Linked DNA regions of Elephas maximus indicus. The protein of the gene in region 2 purifies or fractionates together with the protein of the main gene of each other region. This does not show direct contact. Links are inferred from orthologs where the notes say so. Each region holds a gene or a part of one and is shown on either strand. Other genes may lie near its edges.

What was found.
Region 1: the proteins of AP1B1 (region 2) and AP1M2 purify together in Homo sapiens (affinity purification with mass spectrometry; 3 studies listed by BioGRID and IntAct, counting the BioPlex papers as one, with this or other methods). This does not show direct contact. The link is inferred for Elephas maximus indicus from reciprocal best matches to the Homo sapiens genes AP1B1 and AP1M2.
Region 3: the proteins of AP1B1 (region 2) and AP1G2 fractionate together in Homo sapiens (co-fractionation; 3 studies listed by BioGRID and IntAct, with this or other methods). This does not show direct contact. The link is inferred for Elephas maximus indicus from reciprocal best matches to the Homo sapiens genes AP1B1 and AP1G2.
Region 4: the proteins of AP1B1 (region 2) and AP1S1 fractionate together in Homo sapiens (co-fractionation; 6 studies listed by BioGRID and IntAct, with this or other methods). This does not show direct contact. The link is inferred for Elephas maximus indicus from reciprocal best matches to the Homo sapiens genes AP1B1 and AP1S1.

Annotation. Positions count from the first base shown.
Region 1 is NC_064821.1:28,633,426-28,641,164, forward strand, and holds the start of AP1M2 (AP-1 complex subunit mu-2), read right to left. Parts: upstream 3,005-7,739; 5' UTR 2,937-3,004; coding exon 2,895-2,936; intron 1-2,894. UniProt on the Homo sapiens protein: Subunit of clathrin-associated adaptor protein complex 1 that plays a role in protein sorting in the trans-Golgi network (TGN) and endosomes.
Region 2 is NC_064840.1:27,187,212-27,195,074, reverse strand, and holds the start of AP1B1 (AP-1 complex subunit beta-1), read right to left. Parts: upstream 3,007-7,863; 5' UTR 2,855-3,006; intron 2,653-2,854; exon of another isoform or gene 2,576-2,652; intron 1-2,575. UniProt on the Homo sapiens protein: Subunit of clathrin-associated adaptor protein complex 1 that plays a role in protein sorting in the late-Golgi/trans-Golgi network (TGN) and/or endosomes.
Region 3 is NC_064828.1:34,906,637-34,914,638, forward strand, and holds the start of AP1G2 (AP-1 complex subunit gamma-like 2), read right to left. Parts: upstream 3,011-8,002; 5' UTR 2,993-3,010; coding exon 2,958-2,992; intron 2,817-2,957; coding exon 2,612-2,816; intron 2,238-2,611; coding exon 2,113-2,237; intron 1,962-2,112; coding exon 1,820-1,961; intron 1,699-1,819; coding exon 1,602-1,698; intron 1,428-1,601; coding exon 1,351-1,427; intron 1,236-1,350; coding exon 1,140-1,235; intron 704-1,139; coding exon 623-703; intron 313-622; coding exon 214-312; intron 21-213; coding exon 1-20. Other genes in the region: JPH4 (junctophilin-4), read right to left, coding at 5,057-5,140, 6,133-6,665, 6,971-7,089.
Region 4 is NC_064830.1:92,571,004-92,578,014, forward strand, and holds the start of AP1S1 (AP-1 complex subunit sigma-1A), read left to right. Parts: upstream 1-3,996; 5' UTR 3,997-4,081; coding exon 4,082-4,084; intron 4,085-6,115; coding exon 6,116-6,294; intron 6,295-6,908; coding exon 6,909-7,011. UniProt on the Homo sapiens protein: Subunit of clathrin-associated adaptor protein complex 1 that plays a role in protein sorting in the late-Golgi/trans-Golgi network (TGN) and/or endosomes.

The DNA.
Region 1 (7,739 bases), on a different chromosome or scaffold from region 2:
TCTGTAAACTTAAAACTGGGTTAAATACTAAAGTTTATTAAAAAAAGAAAAAGAAATCAAATGATGTATTGAATTGGGCAAATCTGCTGCAAGAGACCTTTTTAAAGTGTAAAGCAAAAATGTCACTTTGAGGACTACGGTGTGCCTGACCCAAGCCATGATATTTTCAATCACTTCGTATGCGTGAGAAAGCTGGACAATAAATAAGGAAGACTGAAGAATTGATGTCTTTGAATTATGGTGTTGGTGAAGAATATTGAATATACCATGGGCTGTCAGAAGAACTATCTATCAGACAATCTTCCGCAGCTATTTATAAGGTTTTCACTGGCTAATGCTTTTCAGAAGTAGACTGCCAGGTCCTTCTTCCTAGTCTTAGCCTGGAAGCTCAGCTAAAACCTGTCCTTCATGGGTGACCCTGCTGGTATCTGAATACCAGTGGCATAGCTCCCAGCATCACAGCAATGTGCAAACCCCCACAGTACAACAAACTGACAGACAAGTGGGGTCAGATGGATCCTGGCTGAAATCAGAGAATACCAGAAGGATGTTTACCTGTGTTTTATCGACTACGCAAAGGCATTCGACTGTGTGGATCATAACGAATTATGGATAATCTTGCCAAGAATGGGAATTCCAGATCACTTAATTGTGCTCATGAGGAACCTGTACATAGATCAAGAGGCAGTTGTTCAGACAGAACAGGGGGATACTGAGTGGTTTAAAGTCAGGAAAGGTGTGTGTCAGGGTTGTATCCTTTCACCATACCTATCCAATCTGTATGCTCGGCAAATAATCCAAGAAGCTGGACTATATGAAGAAGAACGGGGCATCAGGATTGGAGTAAGACTCATTAATAACCTGCAATATGCAGATGACACAACCTTGCTTGCTGAAAGTGAAGAGGACTTGAAGCACTTACTAATGAAGATCAGAGACTACAGCCTTCAGTATGGATTACACCTCAACATAAAGAAAACAAAAATCCTCACAACTGGACCAATGAGCAACATCATGATAAACGGAGTAAAGATTGAAGTTGTCAAGGATTTCCTTTTACTTGGATCCACAAGCAACAGCCATGCAAGCAGCAGTCAAGAAATCAAACGACATGTTGCATTGGGTAAACCTGCTGCAAAGACCTTTTTAAAGTGTTGAAGAACAAAGATGTCACCTTGAAGACTAAGGTGCACCTGACCCAAGCCATAGTATTTTCAATCATATCATATGCATGTGAAAGCTGGACAATGAATAAGGAAGACTGAAGAAGAATTGACGCCTTTGAATTGTGGTGCTGGTGAAGAATATTGAATATACCATGGACTGCCAAAAGAATGAACAAATCTGTCTTGGAAGAAATGCAACCAGAATGCCCCTTAGAAGCAAGAATGGCGAGACTGCATCTTCTATACTTTGGACATGTTGTCAGGAGGGATCAGTCCCTGGAGAAGGACATCATGCTTGGCAGAGTACAGGGTCAGAGGAACAGAGGAAGACCCTCTATGAGGTGGATTGACACAGTGGCTGCAACAATGAGCTCAGGCATAACAACGATTGTAAGGATGGCTCAGGACAGGGCAGTGTTTCATTCTATTGTGCATAGGGTTGCTATGCACAATAGAATGAAACGGAACCGACTGGACAGCACCTAACAACAAGCCAGAAGAACGAACAAATATCTGTCTTGGAAGAAGTACAGCCAGAGTGCTCCTTCACATACTTTGAACATGTTATCAGGAGGGACCAGTCCCTGGAGAAGGACATCATGCTTGGTAAAGTAGAGGGTCAGCAAAACAGAGGAAGACCCCCCATGAGATGAATTGACATAGTGGCTGCAAACAATAGGCTCAAACATAGCAACAACTGTGAGGATGGTGCAGGTCTGGGCAGTGTTTCATTCTGTTGTACATGGGGTCACTGTGAGTCAGAACCATCTCGACAGCACCTCACAACAACTACCACGTTATTTAGTTCTCACCACAAACCCTGTGATGGAGGTGTTGCCATCATCTCCATTTTATAGATGCGGAAGCTGAGGCTATGAAAGAGTCTATGGAACCATGTCCATAGTAAGCAGGGAAACTGGGAATCGAAACAAGGCGGCCTGGCTCCAGAATTCTTGCTCTCACCCCGGGCTTCATATGCACCAGAGTGGTAAGGTAGGGCTTATGAAAAACGGAGAGGGGAAGGGGAAAGGGAGGGGAGAGGAGGGGAGGGGAGGGGAGGGAAGATTCTATCCATGCACCTCTTAGAGTTCATGTCTGTCTGCCCTGCCAGCAGTAAGCCAGCAATAATAATAGTACTTAGGCTGTTGAGTCAAGTGGTTAGAACAGAGAGGGCACACAGCAAGTCTCTAAATAGCTTTCACTATTAATATTATCAGTATTATTTTCACACCACCATTGTTACTGCTGCTATTGCTGAATGACAAGGTGGATAAGGGAGCTTCAGGAAAGGACAAAGCAGCTCTAAAGGGGAATTAGGGCCTTCTGCAGCCTTCCCCGGGTATTAATTTTGTGGAAGATGACAGTGATGGAAATATAAACTTCAATTTATTGAACGCCTAATGTTTGCATCGGGGCTAATGTGCTAAGCGCTTTACACACTTTGAATTTTATGAGTTCTGACTGGGTGGGGACCTTAGTTACCCCCATTTTTAAGGCAGGAGAAATTAAGAACCCGAGGGGCAAAGCCCGTTGTCCCAGGCACACGGCCAGTAAATGGTGGAGGTAGAATTCAACCCGGACACACGGGAATTAGAGTGGAGGGGGGCGTAGGTTTCCACGCCCCAAGAGCTTTCTGGAGTCTTGCTAGCTTGCGCGGATGTGCCGCCCCTAGGTTGGGGGGAGCTTAGCCTCACCGGTCTGGCCCCCTACACCTGCGCTTAGCCTCACCTTGCCCTTGACGTCGAGGATGAAGACGGCCGAGGCGGACATAGTGGCAGCCGGTGGATCTGAGAGGCGAAGAGGGAGAGCCAGAAGGTAAAGACAGCACCGCTTCCTTCTTCCTGCGGAAGCGCCCACGCCCAGGTGAGCGCCCAGGTGAGCCCTCTTAAAGGGGAGGCCGCCGCCAGGTGAGCGGCGCGGTCGGCAGACGCGACAGCTATTGAGAGGGCTGGAAGGGGGCGGTCCTTCGGTTGAGACAGAGGCCCCGGCTCACTTTCTCTTTGCACCTGTGAGTGCTGGTGGGCAAAGACAGCGGACCAACCGACCGCCTGTCTGTCAGTCGGTCCCTCCATTCATTCATTCATTCTCCTCTGTCTCTACCATAAGTACACAAGCCCCAATAGGGCCGGGGCTTTGTCCTGTTCCTGCCTGTGTCTTCTGCGCCCAGTAAAAGACCTGGTAAAAAGGTACACAGTATAAAAAAAAAAAAAAAAATTTTTGTAGGTGTTGAATATTTGTTGAATTCATTCATTCATACAATAAATATTTACTAATTAGTTTATTCTGTCACTCAAATATTTACTCACTAATAAATTCTTTCACTCAGTGACTGGAACCTTGGGAAGGATTCTGAGCAAGACAAATGTAGCTGCTTTTAGTGTTTTCCTAACGTAACTCTTGTCCATTTGTTCAAAATTATTTATTAAGCCCTGGTAAGGCCGTGGTTAAAGCACTTGGCTTTTAACCCAAAGATGCTTCAAACAAACCAGCCACTCCACGAGAAAAATATGTGGCAGTCTGCTTCTGTAAAGATTACAGCCTTGGAAACCCTAAACCCCTATGGGGCAGTTCTACTCTGTCCTACAGTGTCACTATGAGTTGGAAAGTTGGGATTGACTCAGTGGCAATGGGTTAATGGGTTTGTGACACTAAAAGAGCCCTGGTGGTGCAATGGTTAAGCTAGGCTGCTAACTGAAATGTCAGAACCCACCAGCGGCTTCGAAGGAGAAAAGACCTGGTGACCTGCTCCCATAAAGATTAGAAAACTCCATGTGGCAGTTCTACTCTGTCACATGGAATTGCTATAAGTCAGAATCGACTCAATGGCACACAAGAAAAATGTGACACTAAGATGTAGATAGAATATGGAAAGGATAAATGATAGTTATTATTATGGCTACAACTCCCAGGGTAGCACAAAGGGTTTGCACTCGGCTGCTAACCTAGAGGTTGGTGATTTGAACCCACTCAGTGGAGCCATGGAAAAAAGCCCTGTCAACCTGCTTCAAAAGAGATTACAGCCAAAAGTACCCTCTGGAGCAGTTCTGTAACAGATGGAGTCACCACGAGTCAGAATCAACAGGACAGCAACCTGTTTTATTATGACTGTAATTATTATGTCATAATATTATTCCAGCATATCCTTACTGACCACCTACTGTGTGCTAAACTGGGCATCTGGAAGGGGTTTCGTTATGGTGATGATGGTCATGTTGATGGTGATCCAATCAGCTAATGAATATTTATTGAGCACCCGCTGTGCTCTTGTGGATTGTGATGTAGACAAGGCTGGTACCCCGGTTCTAGGGAGGGTGAGAGACACACAATTAAAAAAAAAAAAAAAAAAGATGATTCCTGATGAGGATGAGACCTTTGAAGACAAGGGTACTAGGGGGCAGGGCTGACAGAGAGTGAATAGGGGCTATAAGTCAGGAAGATCAGAGCTGACATTTGACAGAGGTCTTCGAGGCCCTGTAAATAGTAACACTGTAAGACAACATTATTGCCAGCCCTTCACTGTGTCCCTGAATTTCCACCACAACTTTATGAGCAGGGATGATCCAAGCGATTGAGCCCAGTGCAGAGTTGGGCACACAGCAGTTACTAGTATTGGTTTTGCTGTTGTTTATTGTTACACGTGTACCAGAGAAGCTCATGGACTCCAGATCCAGCTGCCCGAGCTCAGGTTCTGGCTCTGCAACTGGCCAGCTGTGTGGCCTCTGGTACCTGGCCTCCCTCCCAAGGTCTCAGTCTTCACATCTGTGAAAAGGATTCATAACTGCACTTTTCTTGTTGGGTTATCATGCACACAACAGCATGAGTTATTATATGCAACATGGTGCATGGAACATGCTTGATCATGACAGCTATAATGATGATAATTATGACAACAATGAGGATTGTGGTGGTTAAGAGAACAAGTGCGGGGTTTGAATCCTGACTCCACCACACATTGCCTGAGTCATCAGGTTTGAGAGCCCCTTGGTGATCTGGTGTATAACAGAATGAAATGTTGCCCAGTCCTGTGCCATCTTCATGATCATTGTGTTTGAGCCCGTCCCTGCTGCTGTTGTCAGTCCATCTCACTGAGGATTTCCTTCATTTTGCTGACCCTCAATGGCAACAGGTTTGGTTTCTCTACCAACCATGATTTCCTTTTCTAACAATTGTGTCCAAAGTAAGCTAGCCAAAGTCTCTCTGTCCTTGCTTCTAAGGATCATTCTGGTAGTATTTCTTCTAAGACTGATTTGTTCATTCTTCTGGCAGTCCACAGTGTATCCAATATATAGTGCTCATTATAGCGAAACTTTGTCTCACATACTTTAGACAAATTATCAGGAGGGATCAGTCCCTGGAGAAGGACATCATGTATGGTAAAGTAGAGGGTCAGCGAAGAAGAGGAAGACCTTCAACAAGATGGATTGACACAATAGTTGCAACAATGGGTTCAAACTTAACAATGATAGTGAGGATGGTGCAAGACCTGGCAGTGTTTCATTCTATTGTACATTGGATCACTATGAGTCAGAACCGACTTGACAGCACCTAACAACATATGCAGGCATATGCACTACCCTAAATATCTGGTGTGTGGGAATCCTTGAGACAACTCTTTAATTTAGGGAACACTATTATCTCCACAGAGCCCTGGTGGCACAGTGGTTAAGAGCTCAGCTGCTAACCAAAAGGTTGGCAGTTCAAATCTACCAGCCACTCCTTGGGAGCATTATGGGGCAGTTCTACTCTGTCCTATAGGATTGCTATGAGTTGGAATTGACTCAACAGCAGTGGGTTTTTTTTGGTTTATTATGTTCATATGACAGATGGAGAAACTGAGGCTCAGAGAAGGTGAGTGACTTGCACAAGATCACCCAGCTAGTAGTGACCAAACTGGGATTCGAGCCCTGCAAAGCCCAGGAATTCATACTGCCTCTGCCCAAAGGAGGGAGGGCCTTCCATGCTCTTACCCACTCCCTGCTCAGGAGGTGGTCTGGGGCGATACAGGCTCTCACTCCAACTCAGGCACCCCGGAGCCTCACAAGGATTCCCCTCCTAGGGCCCTTAGTGAGATGTTTTCAGGTAGTAAATAGAACTCAAAAGCCAGGGCCTAGTGCACTGGAATCTGAAACTCAATGCCTGTTTGGCTGAAAAATTCATGAACCCAAAAGCTGCAGTGGGGTCAGAGAACAGAGCAGCTCTGTCTGGCTGGCCCTGCCCAGCCTGGCCTATTTGGTGGCAACCACGCCCATCCCAGCTTCTAGACACTTGCAGCCTGCACCAGGCTTCTTTCAGCTACCCTGCCACTAGGAACCCCTTTCAATCCCTTTTTTATGTCACTAAAGGAACCTCTGAAATACAACTACTATGGTCTCACCCACTCTCACATCCCCCGTGGCTCCCCATTGCCCTCAGACATTGCCCCCAGTTGACCTCTGCCGCAGGGCACCCTGAACCGCTGCCCCAGACAACTGACTTCCATAATTTCAGTTCCCCTCTTTGCCTTTCTCTTTCCTCCGGCACCTGAGCCCTCTCTGCAGAACGCCTGCCCCTCTTTGCTCTTACCACTTGGTTCTATTCTCATTCAGCTCTCAGGCCTTCTCCTTTGGGAAGCCCTCTCTGTCTTACACTCCGTGTCTCCATCACGTTCTTCCTCTGTGCTTTCCCAGTGCCCGCTGCTCCCCCCATCACAGCTGTGTGATACCATACTTATATAAAGTTAACTCTTACTGAGGTGAAATTCACATAGCATAAAATTAACCAATTCCAGTGACAGTGGCACTTAGTACATTCACACCGTTGTACAACCACCATCTCTATCTAATTCTAAAATATTTTCATCACCCCAAAGGAAAACCCCTACCCATTAAGCATTTGTTCCCTGCTCCTTCTCCCCCTATCTCCCAGCCACCACAGAGAGGGCCCTGAAGAATACAAGGTGGATTCTGCCTGCAAAGAACGCTGGGAGAGAACCAGAGTACCTTACTGAGCAGTGATCCAGGCCAGGAAAAAATACGGCAAATGACTGACTTCATGGTCATGTCAATTGGAAGCCGTTAATTAGTACAAAAACAACCTCATTCATCATACGGTAGAGAAGTTTTTTTCCCCTGGGTCCCTTGCACACATCTTTGCATGTAAGCGCTAAGTATATAAACTCCCAGCCTGCACTGCTGAGCGTGGTTCTCTACCCAGGTGACACTCCACGCTTCGCTAACTGTGGAGAGAATCCTGGCGTCAAACCCTGTAAGTTCTCTAATACAGCTAGATCTGAACAACCTGGCATTTTCCACCTCTTTTTTTGGAAGCCAACCTGTGCCCCTCAGAGCTGCTTCTGCCACTGGCACAGTGGGATTTCACAACCACTAATATGATTTCTGCCTTCAAGGATTTACCTATTCTGAATTGTACGTAAAACTTAAATCATACAATATGTAACCTTTTATGTCTGGCTTTGTTCACTTAGCATAATGCTTTTAAGATTTATCCACCTTGCAGTAGGCATCAGGACTTCATTTTTATGGGCTGAGAAATATTTCGCTCTATGGCTGTACCACAACTTGTTTTCCATTCATC
Region 2 (7,863 bases):
CACAGACAGGTCTTCATCAAGGATTAAGGAATTAGAGCTGTTTACTCGGAAGATAGCCAAGTAAACAATCATATCCGCTATGATCAGAGCCACAGGACATTAAGGAGGGCCATCTAGCTCAGGCCTGCAAGGTGGGGTGATAATCAGATGGGAAGCTCCAACAGTGGTCCAGTAAAGAAGGGCGGGAGGTGGGCAGGAAAGAGTGTTCAGGCAGAGGGAACAGCACAAAGACAGAGAGGCGTAAAGCTGGGACTTGGAGAAGAAGCAAGCAGCTGAGTTTGACTTGGGAGGATGTGGAAATGTGGGATAGGAGAGCCAAGAAGGGTCAGTTCCCGAAAGGCCTGAATGCCATGCTAAGGAGCCTGAGTTTTAGCCTGAGGGCAATGAGGAGCCACTGATGGATTTTCAAGCAGGATTTTTTTTTTAAGGATTCTCCAACTGCTTGAGTGATATTTTCTCTCAGGAGTATTTGTTGCTCTCTGTGTGAAGACAGAGAAAACAGAAAGATCATTTCTGGGCTGTGAGCATTTATCAACCACCTTTCTTAGGCAAAAGACCTGTTTGGAAAAGGAAACATCTTCAAAGAACAGATGCCCCCTCAGATTTAAGAAATATATTACAGTGCAAAACCCATACCCAAGTTGTGCTTGCTCACTGGTAGCATATCAAGGCTTTTGTGCCAGATGTGGGTTTTGAATGGGAAGTGAGCAGTCAAGATGTACAAGATGATGACTACAAAAAGATTAAAGTCCAAGCCCAGAGCCAGCAGGACTGACGGACTGAGCCTGTCCTGAAGTACTTTGAGGAAGTGAAACAAGAAGGGTCCGAGAAGTCCTCTGAACATAAAGGTCTCTGTTTGCAGAAGGAAGTAACGCCCCATAAACCACAGCTGGCAGCCTTCCTTGGGCAAAAGCCCCCTGAGGATCAACAGGCCTGAAGTCAAGACACCCACCACGATAATAACATTTTGCTCTATACTAGGCGCATTGCACAAATGTCCTCACTTAACCCCCACAACCACCTGTGTCGGGGGGCCGGGTGGGGACTCAGTATTATTTTTGAGTTGAGGTAAAAGAGGCCCAGCCTAAGTAAGTTGTCCAGATCACGCTACCATTAAGCTGCCGAACTGAGGTCAGAATCCAGGGCTGACTACTGGAAAGTCGGGGTGTGCTCTTTCTCTTGTACCTTTGAGCCCCTTCAAACCACTCAGGCTTGCTCAAGTCTCACAAACTATGAGGGATCTGATTCTTTGATAACTTGTCAAGCTGCTCTTCATGACAGTTTCTAAACGGCTCAACTCAGGGCAGGGAACCAGATGCTTGGTGCTCTGCTCATGTTCCTACCAACTGTGACAAGTCACTTCATTCAAATCCTCCCTTGGAAGAATGGGATAAGATGACAATATTAAGTTTCTGTGGATTCGGTAATTAGGAGAACAGATCATGGAGGCTAAAAAAAACAAACAAAAAAGGCACTACAGTAATATTTACCTCACAGCTTTCTTCAGAAGCATGTGGAAACCTTAGCAGATTCACTAAGGCTTGTAACACCCACGAAGGGGTAAGGAGGCAGCAGGTCTTTCTCATGCTGCTGTCAGGGAAACTGAGGCAGAATGAGAGGGGGTGGATGTTGCAAAGGAATAAAGGCTCAGACTCACAGAGCCTAGTTCTCCGGCCACCAAACCACCTCACCATCTCCCAGGCAAGAAGAATGGGGCTTCCACATTTTTCAAAGAGGCACAGACCTTCCCCTTGAATACATCCTTCTAGAATCTAGGGCCAAAAGATCCTGTAGGGGTCATGTGGTTCCTCTCTTTATTCCAAAAGGAATGCAGCTCAACCACCTGCAAGAGAGGTTCCTGATATTCTGAAATTAGTTTCCCAGATAAGGTGTTTTATGTCTCACAGTGCCTAAAAGTCAGGAAAGACTGCCACTCTTGCCCTGAAAGGTGTATAGCGACAGTCTGCGGGACTGTTTCATTCTAAAGAAAAATGAATCAAAGGCAGGGGCATAAATGAAGATCAGATGAGAAGCAATAAAGCTACATCTTTACACGTTGTTACCGTTGTAACATAGATTCAAACAGATATAGTGGCAGCTGAGTATTAAGCAGCCCCTACGCCCCAGCCCTGCTCCAGCCTGCCTCTGCACTTCGCAGGCCCCTGAAAGCCTGCATAGGAATTTTGGCTCTGTCTACACTATCTGATCCGTCTACCTGGGTGATTTAACCTCTCTGTACCTCAGTTTCCTCATCCGTAAACAGGGAATAGCAACAGTAGCTATCTCACGAGTGTTGAATGGAGGTTTAAACGTGGTATTTTAGCACAGATCCTGGCACACAGTAGGGGTCGATAACCAATAATGATCATTTTAGCATTGTTATACGTGTCTTCAGTCAACTTGTCACGGAGGCGCCAAGGGACAGACCGAGCTCAGATACTCCCCGGGTGCCGGCGGCAGAGGGTCGTTTCTTTTCCAACCTTGACATGGAGAAAAAGGCCCTTAACGAAGAGGCCTCAGGCTGGCCTTGAGGGTCAGTGTGAACGGGAAAACCAAAGCCCAAAGACGAGTTTACCTTTCAGCCAGGCGTGGGCTTCTCGGGCCTGAGTCTGGGGGCGTCTCCCGGGCGGCGGGGCTGCAGGCCTGGGGCAGCTGGGATGCGGGTCGGAGGCCAAGGGGGCGCGAATGAATGAGCCTGCAGTCCCTCCGCCTCCTCCGAGCCAGGGAGGCCGCTCGCGTACCCACTGTCGCCCTGTCCTCTCAGTGACCTCTGACCCCGCCAACCCCTCAGCTCAGACCCCCGGCTCCCCGTCCCACTTCTTCTCCTGCCGCATCCGGCACTCCGCTTCCTCACCCGCAAGACCGAGCGGCTCCCGGCGCCACGGCTCGGCTCGGTTCGGATCGGCACGGCAGCAAAATGTCCGCGGCCTCCTCCTCCTCCCGCTCTCCCGGCGTGTCCGCACCGCGGGCCGCTCTCAGCCCCGCGGCTGTCACCTGCCGGGCGGAAGTGAGCTGCCCGCGCGCTCACACTTCCGGTGGACGCACGGCCTGGGGGCGGGGCCAAGAGTGCTCCCCGGGCCAGGGGTGGTGCCCGAGGGGCGGGGCAAAGGAGGGGGTGGAGCCGACCGCCGCTAGGGCCTTGCTCAGCTGCCGGCTCCCGTACAGCGCTGGAGAAGTGAGCCAGCTGACTGCGAAGTGGTGCTGGTGTGACGGAGACGGGAAAGATCCTAGAGACTTTGAGGTCTCTCTCCTTCTTCTGGTTCCAGACGGGAAAACTGAGGTCCAGAGAGGTCACTCAGCTTTTGCATTGAAGAATCAAAACTAGAACTGTAAATCTAGTCCAGCATTCTCTGCCTTTCATGGCAGTCCTTAGGGAATCCTCGTTCTAGGGGAAAGATCAGACCCTCCAAGACACTCTCATCCAAGGAGAACTTCATAAAGTCCCATTTCCCCTTTCGTTGGGTCTACCAGGACCTCACGAGGCATGGCATGTAATATAAAAATATTCTACTTGTTTCCTGTCTGCTTCAAAAAAGGATTTGAAAATTGAATGAGGTCTGTAGTCTAGTTAACAGTATTGTACCCAGTTTCCATTTCCTGGGTTTGACTTTGAGGGGTATATAAGATGTAACCATTGGGGGAAGCAAGGTGTAGGGTATAGGGGACTCTACTATTTTTGCAGTTTAAGTTTATAATCATTTCAAAATTAAAAGTTAAAAGAATGAATTTGAGGCTGACTAAAGGTGTAAAATGATGTTACGGATTGAATTGTGTCCCCCCAAAATACGTGTTATAAATCCTAACCCTTATACTTGTGGATATGGAAACCTTGGTGATGTAATGGTTAAAAGCACCGGCTAATAACCAAAAGGTTGGCAGTTCAGATCCACCAGGTGCTCCCTGGAAACCCTATGGAGAAGTTCTACTCTGTCCTATAGGGTCGCAATGAGTCAGAATCGACTCCACGGCAATGGGTTTGGTTTTGGGTATACTCGTGGATATAATCCCATTTGGGAATAGAGTTTTCTTTATTATGTTAATGAGACCATATCAGTGTAGGGTGTCTTAAGCGAATCACCTCTGAGATATTAAACAAACAGATTAGGCACAGAGAAGCATGCAGAGATGGGGGAAGATAGATGCCACACCACATGAAGATTGTCAAGGTACTGAGGAAGAGAAGCTGAAAAGAGACAAGGACCTTCCCCCAGAGCCAACAGAGAAGGCCTTCCCTTAGAGCCAGTGCCCTGAATTTGAACTTCTAGCCTCCTAAACTGTGAGAAAATAAATTTGTTTGTTAAAGCCACCCACTTATGATATGTCTGTTACAGCTCCAGGAAACATATTCTCCTCATAAGTCTCATTCGCCTAAATTATATTTGTCACTCCTACCTGAGCCATCCAGACTGGGATACAACAGGGAGCAAGATGTAGCACAATGCCTCCTTGGGGCTCACTGTTGAGTGCGGGATAAAGACAAATAAAGGGGCCACTATAACATTGAGTGATCAGCGAAAGGACTAGGATACACAGGAAACTTGGACACCAAACTCAGCTTGAGAAATTCAGGGAAGGCTTCCTGGAGGAGGTGATATCCAGGCTGAACCATGAACGATGTGGATACGACTACTTTCGACAGTTACCGCCAAGCAGGCAATGTGCTAGGCTCTTCCACATACTAACTCACTGAATTTTCCCAACAATTTGAAGTTCCATGACTGACCCCAGAGAAAGATGAGAAAACTTAGGCCAAGGGGCCCTTGGCTCTGGGCAGAGCAATTTCTCCCCCATTTCCCCATGGGCCTGGGCCTCCGTTGCCCCAACTCAGCCTGGTAAACCCCAAAAGCAAACCCAGTGCCGTTGAGTCGATTCCAACTCATAGCGACCCTACAGGACAGAGTAGAACTGCCCCATAGAGTTTCCAAGGAAAGCCTGGCGGATTTGAACTGCTGACCCTTTGGTTAGCAGCTGTCACACTTAACCACTACGCCACCAGGGTTTCTGCTCAGCCTGGTAAAAAAAGAGGGTGCACAGCTCAGTGCCAAAGGCTGGATAATTACAGCTTGCAGATGTGGGGAATGGAAATCCAGATGAAGGGACTCCCTCCCTGCCCTCACCCCCCAAACCCAGGTGGCAACACTGAGTCACACACTCAACGGTGAAACTCTTGATAGCTGCAGCCAAAAGAGCCACACCTGGGGCACACTTGGGCTGCCCTGCCTCTTCATCTCAGGCAGTGGCTCCAGCATGGGTAGAGTAGAGCCAGTGGTCACAAAGCCCATCCGGAGGAGTGAGCTAATTTCTCCCCACAAAAACACCATTACTAACAATAGCATTGCCTTCTGGATGGAGGACAGGGCCTTTTTTTTTTTTTTTTAATTGTGTGAATATATATGTAACAAAACATTTGCCATTTCATCATTCTTCACATGTACGATTCAGTGGACATCAATTGTGTTTATCAAGTTGTACGACCATCACCACAATCCGTTTCCAGAATTTTGTATCACCCTTAACAGAAGCCCTGTGTCCTCTAAGCAAATGAGTTTCCCTTTCCCCCTCCCTCCCATCTACCCCTGGTAACCATAAATAGATTTTGGTAGCTATACATTTGCCGATTCTAGTTTTTTTTTTTTTAATACATTTGCCGATTCTAGATATTTCCATAAGTGGAATCATACAATATTTGTTCTTTTGTGGCTGACTTATTTCACTCAGCACGATGTTTTCAAGACTCATCCATGTTGTAGAATGTATCAGGGCCTTATTTCTCTCTATGGCTGAGTCATTCCATTGTAGGTATGTACCACATTTTGTTTATCTATTTGGAGGAAGGCATTTTTAAACATTTCTCCAAGCCCTACTCATTCTCCACCCTGCCCTCATAAGCTGGCTGACACTGCACAGGGCTGTCCATCCACCCCTTTGGGCCTCAGTTTCTCCTCCTGAGAACTCTGTACCCACTATCGGCCAAACTCCACCGTGTGCCCTCACTGCCTCATGAGGTGGGCACTATGATAACCCCCATTTTACGGAGGTCCTGAGAATTTAAGGGGCTGTCCAAACTTCACACGGCAGCAATGGGCAGAGCTGGGAGTCAAACCAGGGCTGATAATTCCAAGGTCCATGCTTCTCCCCTCCCCTGATTCTTAAGGTTTCGTCCAGTCCCAATAAGCTTGGGAGTTCTTGTGGTGCTGTGAGATGATCCAGAACCTGACGCTGGCACTGGGTGACCATCAGTAAAATCTCAGAACAGCACATCCTTCCCACCCGCCTCCGCACGGGGTGCCTGATAAATATCGGTCGGACAAATTGTTATTTCCCCCTATGCCCACTAGAGGGCGCGCAGGTAAAATTAATCGCCTCCACCTCAAACTCGAAACCCTGGTGGTACAGTGGTTAAGAGCTACAGCTGCTAACCAAAAAGTCGGCAGTTGGAATCCACCAGGCGCTCCTTGGAAACTCTATGAGGTAGTTCTACTCTGTCCTTTAGGGTCCGTATGAGTCGGAATCGGCTCGAGGGCAGTTTTTTTTTTTTTTTTACCCCAAACTTGGAAACCCTGATGGCATAGTGGTTAAGAGCTAAGGCTGCTAACCAAAAGGTTGGCAGTTCAGATCCACCAGGTGCTCCTTGGAAACTCTACGGGACAGTTCTACACTGTCCTATAGGGTCGCTCTGAGTCGGACTCGACGGGAACGGGTTTTTTACCCCAAACTCATTGCATAGGCCCCAGTGCATATATTTCAGCATCCCAGACAATTTCTATATTTTTTTTCCTGTGTGGTTATTATTCCTCTACTTCAGTTTCTCTGTTTGTTTGCTGTTTTTTAATCCTATAATGTTCTAAAAGTTCCCTGAATTCATTGTTGTGGGACATCAACAGAATTTCACATTGATTGTTGAAACAACTGAGTTCACTAACTCATTTTCTTGTAGAATATGTGTAATTTTTTTTTTTTTAGAAAATGTGGTATATAGTAAAAATCTTTGTACCCTGCATCCACTAAAAATTTTATAATCCAGTTCATCTTATTCCACTAAAATGACATGTACCACTTTTGCATTCAATTACTAATATTACAGCCACATTTAAAAAGTTAGACCATGGATAGCTAAGACACACAAACACACACACATATATATGCATATATATGTATGTATGTATCTAACTAACTCATAGATCCTATTTTAATGCTTGAGTAAGCAGAGGAGGGAGCACCACAGATTATCGGTGTTTAGGGCCCCCACATACCTTGCTCGGCTACTACTACTGACTATTCTAATCAGCGCCACAATAGATGGGCCCTGGTAGAATGGGAGAAAAATGTGGAACAGAACCTCAAATTCCTAAAAACAAAAATAAAGACAGACCTCCTGGACTGGTAGAGACTGAGGACTCCCCAAGAGTATTGCCCTTAGATACTCTTTAAACCCTAAAATAAACTAATCCCTGAGGTCATCTGGTAGCTAAATAACAGATGGGCTCACAGGATAATGAATATCATTTGTAAGTACTGTGCTCCTTTAAAAAATCACCTGTACGAGACCAAACGGCCAGCAATTACTTTAAAACAAAGATGAGAAAGTAAGGGCACAGGGAAACTATATTAATGGAAACGGGACAACCAGGATAGAAATAATGAGAATGTTCATGCATTGTGAAGAATATGACCAGTGTCACTGAATGAGGGTCTGGTGGATTTGAACTGCTGACCTTTTGGTTAGCAGCTGAGCTCTTAACCAGGGCTCCTATTAGAGGCCATAAATTAAGGCACAAAGAAAATGTCAATAAACTCCAATATAGCAGAAATTGTTCATATAACATTCTTTGATCAAAATCTAAACTAGGAATCAGCAGTAAA
Region 3 (8,002 bases), on a different chromosome or scaffold from region 2:
AGAATATTGACGGCTAGAACCTATGGGAAGCAGAAGTTGGGGACAGTCAGGAAACGCATACCTGCTCATTCAGGAGTAGGGGCCACATGGCATATGATGATGGGTAGACTCGATGGCACTGTTGGTTACTGGGTTAGAGGGCAGAATCCAGTGAACAGGACCTGAAACCCTGGCTGGGGTGGTGGGCAGGGCTACAGTGGGAGAGGCATATACCCGTAGACCAGCTGCAGAGCGTATGTCCATGATGGTGAGCACTGTCTCCAACAGGACCGCGTTACCCGCATTTCGGCTGGTTTCTGTGTTAGTGGCCACCTGAGTGGATTAAGAGAGGAGATACAACTGCAAAGGGCTCTGTCCTCTCCTCAGGTCTCTTCTGTGTTGTCCGTCCACCCCTCAACCATCCAACAAAGTTCCCTTAGCCCCCTGCTATGTACCAGGGCCAGACTGGACACTGGGCTACAGCACTGAGACAGACTGTGTCCCTCATGGAGTTCACAGTCTTGAGGGTAACAGAGAGGTGATGATATAGGCACTCATGGAGGGTAGTCATGTGAGGGATGCCCACGGCTGGTGGGATCACAGAGCAACACACCTAACCACTGCCCCTTCCCCAGTCCCGGACCTGGGCCAACAAGTCATTCATGGTCTCACTACTGTCTTCGTGGTTCCGGCCCAGAATCCGAAGCAGACGAAGTATCTGGACCTGAGGTTGGGTTAAAGGTTGAAAGATGGAGGAGCTCATAGGGTAAGGAGTCATGGGGCTGAGGAGAAAAATCCAACGTTGAGGAGAGCATCGTGAGGGGTCTGGTTGGCTCCCTAGAGCCTCCTTGCCCCTCCCTTTCAGCTCCACAGGTCCCTGGGGGTCCTGGAAAGGTACCAGAAGTCTGCGACACCTGGGGAGTTTGGGATAGGATTTTTTTATGGCTGTCAAACTGGATCTTCTGACATGGTACTCCCCGCACCTCACCTCCCCCCCTCCCCCCACTGGTGCTGGGATGACCAAGGCAATCCTATGCCTGCCACCTTCCTGCCCAAAACAGTGACTGAGCCTAAGTGTTTTCTGGGAGGTAGGCGCTGGCTGTGGTCTTATTTCTAAGCTCCCTTTGTTCGAGGGATACAGCTCATAAAGGTCAGCCTACCTGCAGGAAGGGGTCACTGACTCCAGATATGCTGTGTTCTGCAGAGTATCCCGATGTCACCAGAGTCTGAAGGATCTCTACCAGCTGGGGTACCACCTGGAGGGAGGGCATAGCCGTGTCTAGGCATTCTTCTTACCCTCTCAACCTCCAGCACCATCCCTCCCCACTGTCCCTCTTTTTCTGGCCCAGTGCCTGCTCTTCAGCAGCCCACCTTTCGAAAGTGCCTGAGGGCTGCAGGGCTTCCTTCGCAGAGCTCTGTGATCAGCGTGATGGTGCCCAGCAGGATGCCTGGGGTCAGGGTGGGGGAAGCAAAGGGTAGGGCAGGGGCAAAGGAAAGTCTACGGCATGTGTATAGGTGTGTGTGCTGCCCTTCTCCTATGAGCTGGTATTCCCGTCACAACCTTCACTTCTTCGGTTCACAGCAAGAGCAGAGGCAGGGGATGGGGAGCCCCGTGGCCTTACCATGGTGGCGCTCTTGAAGTAGTTGGGCACAGGGTGGGAGGAAGATGTTGGACAGCTCAGGGACCTTCCGAATCATGTGCACCGCAGTCAGAACAGCCTGCAGAGGTCAGGGAGCTCAGACAGGGCAGGGGTCCATCAAGTACTATGGCACACCTCTACCACGTGGCAAACCAGGGATGGTTTCTTGAGAGGCAAGTGCCTAGAGTCTGCTGCCTCACCTTCTTGCGCATGTAGGGGCTGGGCTGCAGGAGCAGTTTCTCAACCTCTGTGGCTAGGTCCCGGCACATCTCAGCGGAGCCCACGGTGCTCAGAGTGCACAGGGCCAGACCTTGTACTGGCTGACTCCCCTGGCTCAGGTCACTGCAGGGTTGGGAGGAGGGTCAGTGAAGCCTCTGAAAAAACCAATCCTTCCCAGTACCTATACCAGGCAGCCCCTTGGCATTTCCCAGTTCCCCACTCTCCCATCTCCCTGATTCCAAGTGCTTCCTAGAATCACCCCCAGCCCTCTCACTTCTTGATGCTGTTGGTAATGAGCAGGTGGGCATCCTGCCTCTCATCCAGTAGAAGCATGGCCCCCAGGTAGCCCATTCTCTTGTCTGAGAATCTGGGGGAGGCGATCAGTTTCAGGCACTCCATCTATAGAGAAGGGGTGAAACCAGAGGCACTAACATCCCTGTTCCATCTTCCATCTTAACACCAGATTGACTTGTGGGGCACAATAACCCATCACCCTCCTTTCAACAAGAGGGAGAGGCTTAGGAGATTCAGGCATTTGTAGGTAGTTTCAAGGAACTAGGAGTCCTTGGGATGGGAGAGAAGGTGCCCTGAACGAGACTGGCCAGAGAATGAAGGATTCAGGCCAGCTCACCGCCAATGGGGGCTAGGATGGGGAAGGTTAGCGGTGCATGCTGTGAGAGCTCAGAGACTGCAGAATGACAAACTTGAGGTCAGTGAGGGATTCCGAGACCTGCGCCCCACAAATTCAAGAAGGAGGCGTCCTTGCTCCATACCTGTCCAAAGTGGGCAGGGTAGCCCAACATGTGGACGTAGAGCAGTTTGGCCAGCTGGCGGTGCCTGTGCAGGGGGTCCCCATCCCGAAAGGAGGCGCGGATGTGGGCGCACTCCTTCTGGATCACCTCCCGCTCCTGGGCCTGCGTCTTGGCCCCACGAATCTCCTCGATTAGATCCTGAAGCTTCAGCGAAGGCACCACCATCCTGGGGGGCAGAGCTCGGGAATAGAGAGGGCTTTAACACTCCCTAGCCGAATGTGCCTGCCCTTTCTGCCCAGGCTTGCTCTGTGCCAAGAATCTGAGGGTCCGTGTCCCACTGCTACCCTACAACAGAGCACACATTTACCTTTCCCCACACGGGTCTCCAAATTCCGCCCTCATCGCCCCAGGGAACACCTCACTACACATGCGTTCGGCCCCCGTCCGCCTGCCCCTACTGAGCATGCGCTAGAGCCCCGCCCATTTCTCCCCCCCACACACCTGGTTTCCCATCCCTAGCTCAGCCTGTCCTTTTCTTTCCCGGCCCCGCGCATTTTCTTCCGTGGGATTCCTTCTCCGATTGCCATCTCAGGCAGCCTCAGTTTCCCCACCCCAGGAGCCAGCCCTTTACACCAGCCTCACCTGGCTCCCGTCTCAACTCCACTCCTCTCCCCCCCAGGACTTCCTGGTGCAGGGCCGATCGAGAGGCGGTGCTTCATCTGGCCCGTCCCCCTCCGCACCCCCATCACGCGACCTCGCCCCTCCTGGCCCGCCCTGCTTAAACTTCTGGCTTCGCTGTTTAGGGGAAGTAGGTTTTATTCGCAATGGAGAGGCTGGGGTTCCCCTAGGGGGCACCTCGTACATCATCACCACCCGGAGAGCTTCAGCTTGGGGTTGAAGCCATCGCACCCCAAAGGAGATGACAATCCCCCCCCTTTTTTGAACTTTTTTATTAATATATTTTTTTTGTTAATTTTTTTTTTTTCTGCAAGACTTGATGTTTGCGGCACTGTTGTAGTTTAACTTCAATCCCAAATTCCATGAAATAGAAATCAGAAGTAAAGGTTGAGAAGGTAGGAAGGAGGGAGGCAGGCCAAGGAATAAACAGTTTGACTAGAAAAAAAGAGGGTGTATGTGGTGGGCATTCCCAGGCAAGGCCATTCCTTGAGGGAGGGGATTGGCAGGCAGCTTGCCTCTGCCTCATGCAGGGGAGGGGTCCTACAGTCCCCTTTTCCGAGGGCTTCCTAACCCCCAGGGGGGAAAGCTAGTACCAGGGATCAGGCACAACCTCAAACAGGGCTCTCCACCCACCTCTCACCCCACGTTTGTCTCCTACCTCTGCCCTGCCTGGAAGGTGCGTGAGGGGTCAGCTTCTTTTGATCCCCTCCTTCTGTTGTCTTCCCATTTCACCATATTCCCATGTGAAGGGGGAAGGGACATCACCCATTTTGACAGTGACTAAAAGTGTTGCAGCTTACGCTGCTCTGTGAGTTCCTGTCTGGTTCCATCTCCCAGAAGTGCCTCCCCTCACCACAACTGACAGAGTTGGGGAGTGAGGCCCTTGCTCAAGTGCCTCTAACCCTTTGCAGTAGAAACACCTTCTTTAGGTCCCTTAGGAATTTAATCAAAGGCCACAAGTGAGTCCAGACCATCCAAACTTTTAGGGGGAAACAGAAGGGTGGGAGAGGTCAGTGGCGAAGTTGGGGGGGAGGGGACTTGGTTGCACTGGATTTTTTTTGTTCCTTTTACACTTGCTCTTGCCATGTCACCAGAGGGGGTTGAGGAGGGGTGGGCTTTTGAGGAAAGAAAGGGAGATGTTAGAGAGTCATTCTACTTTTCAATTCCCATATCTCCCTCAGGGAAGGACTGAGTTAGGCAAGAGCCAAGCTCAGTGCTTGAAGCTAAGATCCTCCGAGATCAGAGGTGAAGGCTAACTTCCAGTTTTCATTAGGCCTCAGAGGGACACCTGGCCCCTTGGGTCAGGGAGTGATAGCAGCTCAGCCAGTGCCTTCGCAGCATTCAGTCACCCCTTCTCCACTTTTTTCCTCCTTTCCATTCAGCTTCCAGGAGACTCCTCAGGACACCAAAACCCCACCCTCAGTGAAGTTTAGGTCTAAAGAAAAGGTGAGGAGGGCATGGGGCAATGGTCTGACTTGATTTGTGTGTCTCAGAGAAGAAAGCAACTCTGAGAGAGAAAAGCCCTTCATATGTAAACAATCTAGAGAAAGAGAAGGGGTGGGGATGGGGAAGGGAGTGAGGAAGACAGAGACAGACCCAGAATAAATAAGATAATCTGAAAGGCGAGAGGGATAAAGAAAAAGCAAGAGACAAAAACAAAGGGGAATAGAAAAGGAAAGGGAGAAGAGAAAAAGATAGAAACAACAACCAGGAGGAGGAAAAGAGAAAAAGGCAGGTCCAAGGGTGAAGAGGCAGCCACCAAAGCCAGAAGTAGGCCAGGAAGTAGCCTCAGGTGAGGAGCTGGGAGAACAGGAACGCCAGGCTGAGGTCCAGGAGGGCCACGGCTCCCACCACCAGGAGGCTGGCAGCTCCCTAGAGAGACAGAGAAAGGTAGGCTCAGTCTCTGAGGACCAGGTCAGGCTCTTGGTGCCTCCCTCCTGGGGACAGAGCTGTTCAGCCCAAGGGCCCTGGCTGAGGTGGCAAAGCTGAAGAGTCCCAGGCACCATGATCCCTTCTCCCTTCCCCTCCCTGAAGAGGCCAGAAACAGGGAGGGGCCTCCGACCTTTGTTTCGGATTGCAAAACATCCCTCTTCTCCAGGTCAGGGCCCACCTTCCCTCAGGCACCCACAAGGTAGGGACAGCCCATCCTTCTTCTCTCCTTCCTCCTCCTCTCCACCCACTAGCATGTCACGTGGCCCAGACAGGCTGTGCCTGGCCCTAGTAGCAGACTTTGGCAGCAGCAGCTGTTACTGCAGTAAGGCAGAGAGGGATGAAGGGGTGAGGATGTGGTTGCTAGGAAACAGGAGAAGACCTGGAGTCCAATCAGAGTAGAGGGTTCTGGGGAAACTCCGCCTCTCCCAGTTTTCTGCCTTCTTTCCTATTTCCCTTCTTTCCAGGAGAGGGGGAAGAGTCAGGGTAGGGAGGGAACAATCTTTTCCTTTTTTATTTCTGGGCACCAAAGAGAGAAAGTGCGGGGGTGGGGGTGGAGTAGGAAATTGGGAGCTGGGAATGGTATGGAAGGAGAACAAGGAGAGATGTTCTGGCACTACCAGTAATTATTAGTTTGTAACCTTGGACAAGTTAGTTTCAGTGCTCTGGGCCTCAGTTCCCCCCTCTGTCACTTGAGAGAGTTGGACTTGAAGGTCTCTAAGGTTCTTTCCAGCTTTAAAGTTCTTTTTTTTTTTTTTTTTGAGCTGGGTATATGGTCCAAGACTGGGCAGGGAGAGAGGAAGCTGAGTCCAAATCAGAGCCTGCTGGGGGATCAGACAGGTTTGGAAAGGGCGGGAGGGAAGGCTCTGAGGGAAAGAGGGGCTGGGAAGGAGCTGAGACTCAGAGGGTACAAGTGGGGATGGGGGATGTCTCACCGGCTGGGCAGGCCTCTCGGTGGCACCAGGCTCCTCGAGCTCTTCCGTCAGGCACCCAGCATCAGGACCCCTGGAGGACGTGCCCCTCAGGACTGGAGTGACTGTGAGCCCAGGCTGCGAGCCTCCTGGTGCCCTCAGCTGGGGCAAAGGCTCTTCATCTTCTCCCTCCTCCTCTCGAAGACTTCCTGAACTGTCACTGCAGCCTCCGAGGAGTGGAGAACCGTCTCTGGGCCCTGGCCCCTGCATCCCGGCCTCATCCTCAGCCTCATAACCAGCTAGTTCCTCCACCTGCTCACCTGGGCCCCCCCACTCCTCAGGCCAAGATTTGGGGCTGGAGAAGGGACCCCGGTCTCCTCCAGGAGGCAGTGGGCTCCGGCAGGCAGGGGGTCGCCAGGGTTGGTGAGAGGAGGCCGGACTGCTGGGCAGTTCAGGGGAGCCCTCTGAGGGGGTCAGTCCATTCTCATATACCCCGGGGCTGTCCTCATCCAAGGGCTCTGTGTCGGAACCTTCTGAATCCTGCCTGGGTCTGCGGCCTGGGGCAGGGACAGTTAAGAATCAGAGAGGCCTAACTGGCCTGGACTTTGGTATCCCCAGGCCTATAACCTCTCACTGCTGGCCCCCAGCTCCCCTCCCCCATTCTTATTACCTTTCTTTACAAATTCTCAGTCCCACTTCCCAACAACTGGGCCTGGCACCACTCTCCGTCCCCTCGGACCCTCATACCTTGGTTATTCCCATCCCCAGTCTCCTGCAGGGATTCCCAACCCCCTCCCCCAAACCTGAGCCTGTCCAGCGCCCAGGGGGCTCACCCCCCAGCCCCAGGCTGTCCACACCTCACCTGGGGCTTCTAACATGGGTTGCAGGTCCTGGGCTATCAGTTTGGCCATTCGAGCTGCCTCCACGGCCTTCTCGGCAACACTGCTGGCAGCCACTGCCTTGAGGAGGGCATCTGCTGCCCTGTGGGTCCCAGGGATGGGGATTTAGAAATTTTTTTTACTTCAACTGAGCCCCTGCTCAGGTACTCCAGCCCCGGCCCTGTGTTCCACAACACTGCCTCCTCCCGACCTGAGGTCCCCTCTGGAGTCTTCACCCTTCCTCACACTTGGCCAACTGCTTCCTTCCCCAGCAGGTGAGGGCAGCTCCCCTTCGGTTTCCTGTCCCAGACCTGGGCTGAGCTTAATGCCATCATGCCCTCCCGCTTCTCTCACACCCCTCTGCTGTTAAGTCCTGTAGTAACACCTCCCTCCTTCCAGCTGCAGGGGCCAGGCCCGCCCCCCCCCCCCCGCCCCAGAATGGCTGCCCTCGGCTCCGCTGTCTCACTCCTGTCCTGTTCCCTTCTCAGTGACAACTGAGACCACACTCTCTTAGCACATCCTTCTGCAGCTGCCCTCACTTGGTGCTTCCAAGCTAAGTCTGCCGCCCTCTCTGCTGTGGGTACCTCCTGTTGTCATCGATAATTCTTGCTGCCCCCGCTTTGGACCGCGCACTTCTCTGAGGGCTCCAGGGCATTTTCCTGCCCCTTGTGGTCCTGCCCTCCTAGCAGCCGTGCCCCTCCCCTGCCCCCTTGTTCTGGTCCCCCTCTCCCCTGTGGTAGAAGCCTTTGCTCTCATGATTACCCCTGCCATCCCACCTTATTATTTAATCCTACCTCTTCAAGGGCAGATTTCTTGACAGGAGAATTTTACATCTTGCTTTCTGCAGTCTCTTCTGTTATCCCTTCATTCTCCCCACTCCATCACTGCCACTGTCCCCCCCCACCCCATCTCTTCCTTTTCTGAGTTCTGGAACTGGGGAAAGGGGTCCTTCCTTTCTGCTGTGATCATATCCTCTCTCCCTGCTAAGGTGCCTGCTTTCTCACCACTGCGAGCAT
Region 4 (7,011 bases), on a different chromosome or scaffold from region 2:
AAGATGTATATGACTCCACCCACAAGAAGCTTACAATCTAGTCAAAGAGACAAGGCATACTCACATATGCAATCAATGGACATCATGGCATGATAATGAAGTTAACCAGTCAGGGTTCTCAGTTACAAGCAACAGAACCAGCTCTGGAAAACTAGCGAAAAAGGAAATGATTTCCTTTTTTTTCCAGCGAAAAAAGAAATCGGGTAGCTCATGGAAATGCCAGGAGGGCCAGAGTACTAGGTTGGAGGTCTCACACAAGGAACAGTGCCCCGAATCATACCTTCGTCTTCATCCCTACACCTCACTAGACACAGGACACGGCTACTGGCGCCACTCCACTGCGGTCCTAGGGACTCGATGCTCCGACCCTCTGTCACTCTCCTGTCAATTGCCCCATCCCCACCTCATTCTCTCCTGGGCCAAAGTCTGGGAGATGGACAGATGGGCAGAGCCCAGCAGACACGCCCATGCTGTGGCTGCAAAGGAGGCTGTGAAAGTGAGTATCTGAAATTTTCAGATGCTACAGTGGGAGGTTGTTCTATCTCCCTCTGGACTCATAAAGTGGGGATTTCCAAACTCTAGAAACAGGGTTTTTAGAATCTAAAAAAGGTTTAGAATCTAGGAGATGAAAAAGAATGACAAACATCTACCACAGAAAGTATTCAAATGCTCAGGACTGAAAGGAACAGTATATAGGAAGGTATGAGTTCAAACAAACAAACAAAGATCACTGCAAATGAGTTCATCAGGGAACTATGAAAGAATGGACCAAACATAGGTGCAGAGAACATCACAGGAGAGAGAAACACAGATCATAGACTCATAAAGATGGAAGGGCTTCAGAGGCCATCTGGGCCACCTTCCAGCCACCACAGGAACCACCTTATAACCAGATGAGGGAAGGCATGTGGAAGTGTCAGCACGGTCATGGGGAGACAATACAAATTCCATCCCCACCTATAAAGGACAATCTCACCTCTCCCATATTTTTCCGTTCATAAAAATGGCACCACTAATCCTCCAGGCTCGTCTTTGATTCTTCTCCCTTCTTCTCTATTTAGATGAGTTATCAACTTCTGTTGACTGGCCCACTGCAAGTGTCTCTCTAATTTATCCTTCCATTTCCTCTCACGCCTGGATTACCAAAACTGCTCCTATACGGTCTTCCAGCCTTCCATTTGTCCTTTCAAATTGTCCCACATATTACTGTAAGACTGATTTTCCTAAAAGTGTCTTTGCCAAGTTATTCCCCAGCTCAGGTGACTGTAATGACTCCCAACTGCTTACTGCGTCAAGTTTGAACTCATCTGCAGACAAAAGCTATTGGATGAACAAAAGGTATTGAATCTACTAACTTACAGATCCCCTACAATCATCGTGTACTAACAATGAACAAACCTAGTCGTCATCTTCTAACTAGTTTCACCCGCTTGGATTCTATGATTCTACGTGAGCAAAGCCCTTGTTTCTAACAATTTCCCATGAGTCTTTTCTGCAGCTAGGCATACCACATTAAAATGAGGAACTCTAGAAAGCGTTAGCTTTCTAAGGAATGTAGGAGTTTACATCTCTAGAGCTTCCAAATTTGCACAAGCTGTTGCCTAGCTCTCCACTTTGTCTTTACCTCATTTCTCCTTACTTCCTTGTTTGCAACCTCCTCCCCTCTCCCATGAGCACATTTCTTTTTATTTGTTTTGCCTTCTGTCCTGCTTACACATAACGATCTACCCTTTCTAACTCTTACAACTTGTTTTATTAATGTTACTTTTGACCTAATAAATAACACCAAGATACTTCAGCCAACATCTATGCCATTGGCAAGCCTAACGCATCAGCAGAGGAGAAAGGGAAATGAAAAAGAAAGGAAGAAGAAAACACAAAAGAAAGAGGAGTGTCTTACTTATCTATTCCTGCTATAACAGAAATACCGAAAGTGGGTGACTTTAACAAACAGAAATTTATTTTCTCACAATTTAGGAGGCTAGAAGTCCAAATTCAGGGCAGCAGCTCTACAGGAAGGCTTTCTCTCTCTGTTGGTTCTGGGGGAAGGTCCTTGTTCTTTGGTTCCTTGGAGATCTCCCTGTGGTGTGGTATCTATCTTCCCCCAGCTCTGCTTGCTTGCTTGTTTAATTTCTTTTATATCTCAAAAGAGATTGATTTAAGACACACCCTACACTAACACTGTCTCATTAACATAACAAAGAAAACCCATTCCCAAATGGGATTATAACCGCAGGTATAGGGGTTAGAATCACAACACATATTTTGGGGGGACACAATTCAATCCATAACAAGGTGGGAATGGGAAATAATGATAATAGCTACCATTATCAAGTTTACAATATGCTAGATAAAAAAAAACTTTCTATATATTATCTCTAATCATAAGAGCAACCTTGTAAGATAGGCATTGCTACCCTCATTCTTAAAATGAGAGATGGAGGGATACAGATTAAATGGCTCACCTGAGGCTATACATCTAATAAGGGTGAGAGACAAGATTCCATCCCAGATGAATTAGCCCCACCCCATTGTCGCTAGAGCAGAACCGCCATAACAAAGAACCAGAAAAAAAAAATTAAAAAATTAAGTGGAGACATGTAAGGCTTTACCCACAATTACTTCAACTGCTACTAAAACATAATAGTATCATCTGTTGCCAAGAATTATCTAGAAATACCCATTAATTTTTCAGCATGACAAAATTTAAAATGTTCTCCTAGGCTTAAGATAGATAGCTGCTGTTGAGTTGACCCAAACTCATGGCAACCTCACGTACAACTGAACAAAATGCTGCCTGGTCCTTCATCATCCTCATAATTGCCATCATGTTCAAGCCCATCATTGTGGCCATTTCGCCAATCCATCTCACCCACTGTCTCCCTCACCCTTGCTGGCCCGCCACCTCACACACCATGATGTCCTCCTGAAGCAATTGGCCCCTCCCAATAATGTGTCCAAAGCAAGCGAGTCAGATAATGATCTGTTGTGCTCCACAAGGTTTTCATTGGCTAATTTTCAGAAGTAGATTGCCAGGTCTTTCTTCCTAGTGTGTCTCAGTCTGGAAGTTCTGTTGAAACCTCCACCAGGGGCAAGCCTGGTGGTATGTGAAACACCAGTGGCACAGCTTCCAACATCACAGCAATGCACAAGCCACTGCAATTCCAACAAACTGACAGAAAGCAGTGATGCTATCCTTACAGAGCCACCCCTTTTCACCACCACATAAACACACACACACAGACATGCACAGGTGTGCACACTCACATATACACACACATCCTCAGTTAAAAAGCTCATCTTACAATCTGCACCCTACTCATCTTTACACATATGTCTGGTTACGTCTGTCCCTTTTTAGTTTTGATACATGCTAATCTTTTTAAAAAAAAATTTTTTTTATTAAGGTTCCCTTTATTCTCCCCCTTGAGCCTTAATTTCCCTTCATGTTTCTCTCTCTTCCTTATATCTCTTTTAATATGAGCCTCACCTTTTCTCTTTTATCATTCCCCTCATTTCCTCACACTTCTCTTACTTGAAGAGAATGTTGCACCTAGCAGGTTCTCAGTGGATACTAATTTTGAGCTTTATCTTTGTCTTCCTGCCTCCCTGATCATTCCTCTCCCCCTACATCTAGTTCCCACCCTGCTCAGTCTCAATTGCCCACGTTCCTTCCATTAGTTCTCCTTGCTTCCTCACAAATGCCAATGGTCGTCCCATACATTTCTCACGCCTTTTCCCGCCTTTTTCCCCCAAGGTTCTATAGCGCGAGGACTCATTGTCTTCCTCCCACATCCTCTAACCAACCTACAAGACAGCCTTGTTACCATGACGACAGAGCTACTCAAAGCTGAAGTCAAGGACCTGGTTGCCATGGCTCCCGCTTGTCCGCCTCCAGCCCCTCCCGCGCGCCCCGTAGCGTTGGCGCCTGCGCAGTAGGCAACGCGCCGGGCCTCCGAACTTGGGCGGGACAAGGCGGGGCTTCAGCCGAGAGGGAGGGAAGAAGAAGAAAGGATAAGACGGGAATAGAGCTGGCGCCTACGGTGGCCGAAGAGGGACGCGCCGAGCCGGAGGCTGCAGGATGGTAGGCTGTGCGAAAAGGGAGGGGAGGGGGGAACTGAGGGGCGTGGGCTGCACCTGAGGGGGTCCTTGGGGGCCGCCCTCTGTGCGAGTCGTTCTTTCTTCACTGTCGTCCTCAGAGACCCTCCTGTATCTGGGCGGGTGGGCGAGGCGGCCTCCGAAGGAATTCCTGGGAATGGCATTCGAGAGGAGTGGGGAGGAGGCGCATTTGCTGGGCGAGAGGGGGCTGATGTGGGGACGGCGGCACCGGCGAGACCGGACTGAGCCAGGAGTGGCCGGGTCTCGGTCCGAGGGGTGCCGACCCCTGCCGCCGGGAAGTCGCCCGATGTACAGGGGCGCGGGGGTCTGCTCGTGGAGGGAGGGAGGAAGGGACTGGGGGCCGCCGGTCGTCAAGACCCTCTGTTCTCGAGCAGCCCAGAGAGGAGCGGCGGCCGGTGGGGGAGAGCGGGTGTGGGAGGGAGAGTTTCCGGGTCCGAGGAGGGGACGTCCTGCCTCGCTGTATCGCCATGCTCGCCTGGGGGCAGCGGTGAGGCGGGGAAGCGAAGGGGGCTGGAGCTTTGGCTCTCAGGGACCCAGGCTCTGAGCTCCTGGGCGCCGCTGCTTTTCGCTCTCCGCCCCCCTTCCCATTCTTTTTCCGGAACCCAGGCCTTCCGTCTTCCTGCTCGCCCCACCGCCCCCATCATAGACGCGCCCCGCTCCCTGGCGCCCCTCTCTTCTCCTCCTGCCACAGTAACAGTACTTCCTCTTCCCTACCCCCGAAAAGCCTAGTTCTCGCCTGGCCTTGAATTCAGATTTCTAGCCCACTGTGCCATACGCTAAGGAGCCCTGGTCGCTCAGTGGTTAAGTGTTCCGCTGCTAACCGAAAGGTCGGCGGTTCGAACCCACCAGCTGCTCCGTGGGAGAAAAATGTGGCAGTCTGCTTCGGTGAAGATTTACAGCCTTGGAAACCCTACGGGGCAGTTCTACTCTGTCCTATCAGGGTCGCTCTGAGTCGGAATCAACTCAACGGCAGTGGGTTTCGTTTGGTTTGGTGCCATACACCCAGGGATTCCAGACCTGGTATTGTCCACAGAGAGGAGAGCTGCTGGGAGGAGGAGATGAATCTGGAGCTAGGAAGCTGGAGGTGCACTGGTAGTGAGGGCTCTGCTCTCCTCTGCAGTCCACCCAGCTTGCTCTGTGCGCCACAAACATTCCCAGGTAGCTGTGTCCTCACTCAGGGACCCAAAGAGAGGTTAGTCATCCGGGGTCTGAGAAGTGGGCGCTTAGCAGAAGACAGCCCTAAAAGGCAGAGATGCTAAGAAATCAGAGGCCAAATATCTGGATGACTGCAGAGAGAAGAGGGTGGAATTTGGGATCCCAATACTATGTGCCAGGAGAAGGATAGGACTGGCACCAGAGGGCAGGGTGTTTGGGACATCAGAGAGGACTCATGGTTAGGATGGGGTGGAGAGTAGAGGTAGCTTGTTGAGGGGCAAAATATCCAATTTCATGGTGGTGATGGACAGAAAGAACTTGGAAGAGACCAACCATCTCTTTAGCATCTCTTTAGGGGCTTCTTGTCATGATGCTGGGCATTTTACTTATCTTTAGGAAACAGGAGGTCAGGAGATAATAATTATAGTACTTAACACATTACAATGCTTACCATGTGCCATGCACTGTCGCTAATACCAACTCATTTAATCCTTCCTAAAAATTTTGTAAGGTGGGCACTTTATGATCTCCATCTTACAGATAAGGAAATAGAGGCCCAGAGTCATAAAGGAATTTACCCAACACCATACCCAACTCGTAGGGTCTGGACTTGAGCCCAAATGACAGGCTGAGAAGCTCTGACTTCCCCCAGAAGGACAGGTACCACGTGGTGTGAATACCCAGCATTGACAGCAAAGGGCTGGAATTTTTAAGAAAGCAGGAGCTGGAGTGGAGAAGAGTTAGACGGGATGAGTTTGGGACTGTGTGTTTGTGGAGGGAAGAAGCTCAGAGGAGCAAACCTCTGACCCTCAGCTCTGCTCCCCCTACCCCCCCCCCCCAGATGCGATTTATGCTGCTGTTCAGCCGGCAGGGGAAGCTGCGGCTGCAAAAATGGTACCTGGCCACATCCGACAAGGAGCGAAAGAAGATGGTTCGGGAGCTTATGCAGGTTGTGCTGGCTCGAAAGCCCAAGATGTGCAGCTTCCTGGAGTGGAGGGACCTCAAAGTCGTCTATAAGAGGTGACACATCACCTACTGTCAAAACTGCCTGGATCCTGTTCGATTAGAGTTTGGCAATGGGTTAAAGAGAGGGGATACTGGTAAACAAAGGGCCCCTTATGTCAGGGAGAACTGGGAGCTAAGAACATATCTGGACGTCACTGATTAACCCCAGCTTTCCTTCCTGCCAAACTCCTCTTGAAGAAACTCTTGTTCTCCACTTGATTTTGGTCAAGCACATACCTCTGTCCCTAGAGGCTCCATTTGGTCCACTGTGTGTATCCCTTGTAGTCTCAACAGTCATAGATCCTGCCCCACTTTCCCAACACACGCAGACACATGTACCTTATCCAGTTCCTTCTTTAAGCAGGTGAATTAGTTGGCTAATTTTTTGCTGAGTCAAACAACAGGTCAGAGGGCAAGAAAGAAAAAGTGTGTGTCTTTGCGTATGTGTGTGAGAGAGCACCAGGAGGCAGAGTGAGTTACCCTGTCTGTGTCTAGTGGAGGCACAGACTGGGCTGGGAATGAGGAGAAACAGGGGGTTTAAGCTCAGAGTGCCTGGGTCCTGAACCCAAAAAAGGGTCCTGAAGCAGCCTTCAATTCAGCAGCTATGGCTCATGTACCCCTCTCTCCAGATATGCCAGCCTCTACTTCTGCTGCGCCATCGAGGGCCAGGACAACGAGCTCATCACGCTGGAGCTGATCCACCGATACGTGGAACTCCTGGACAAATACTTT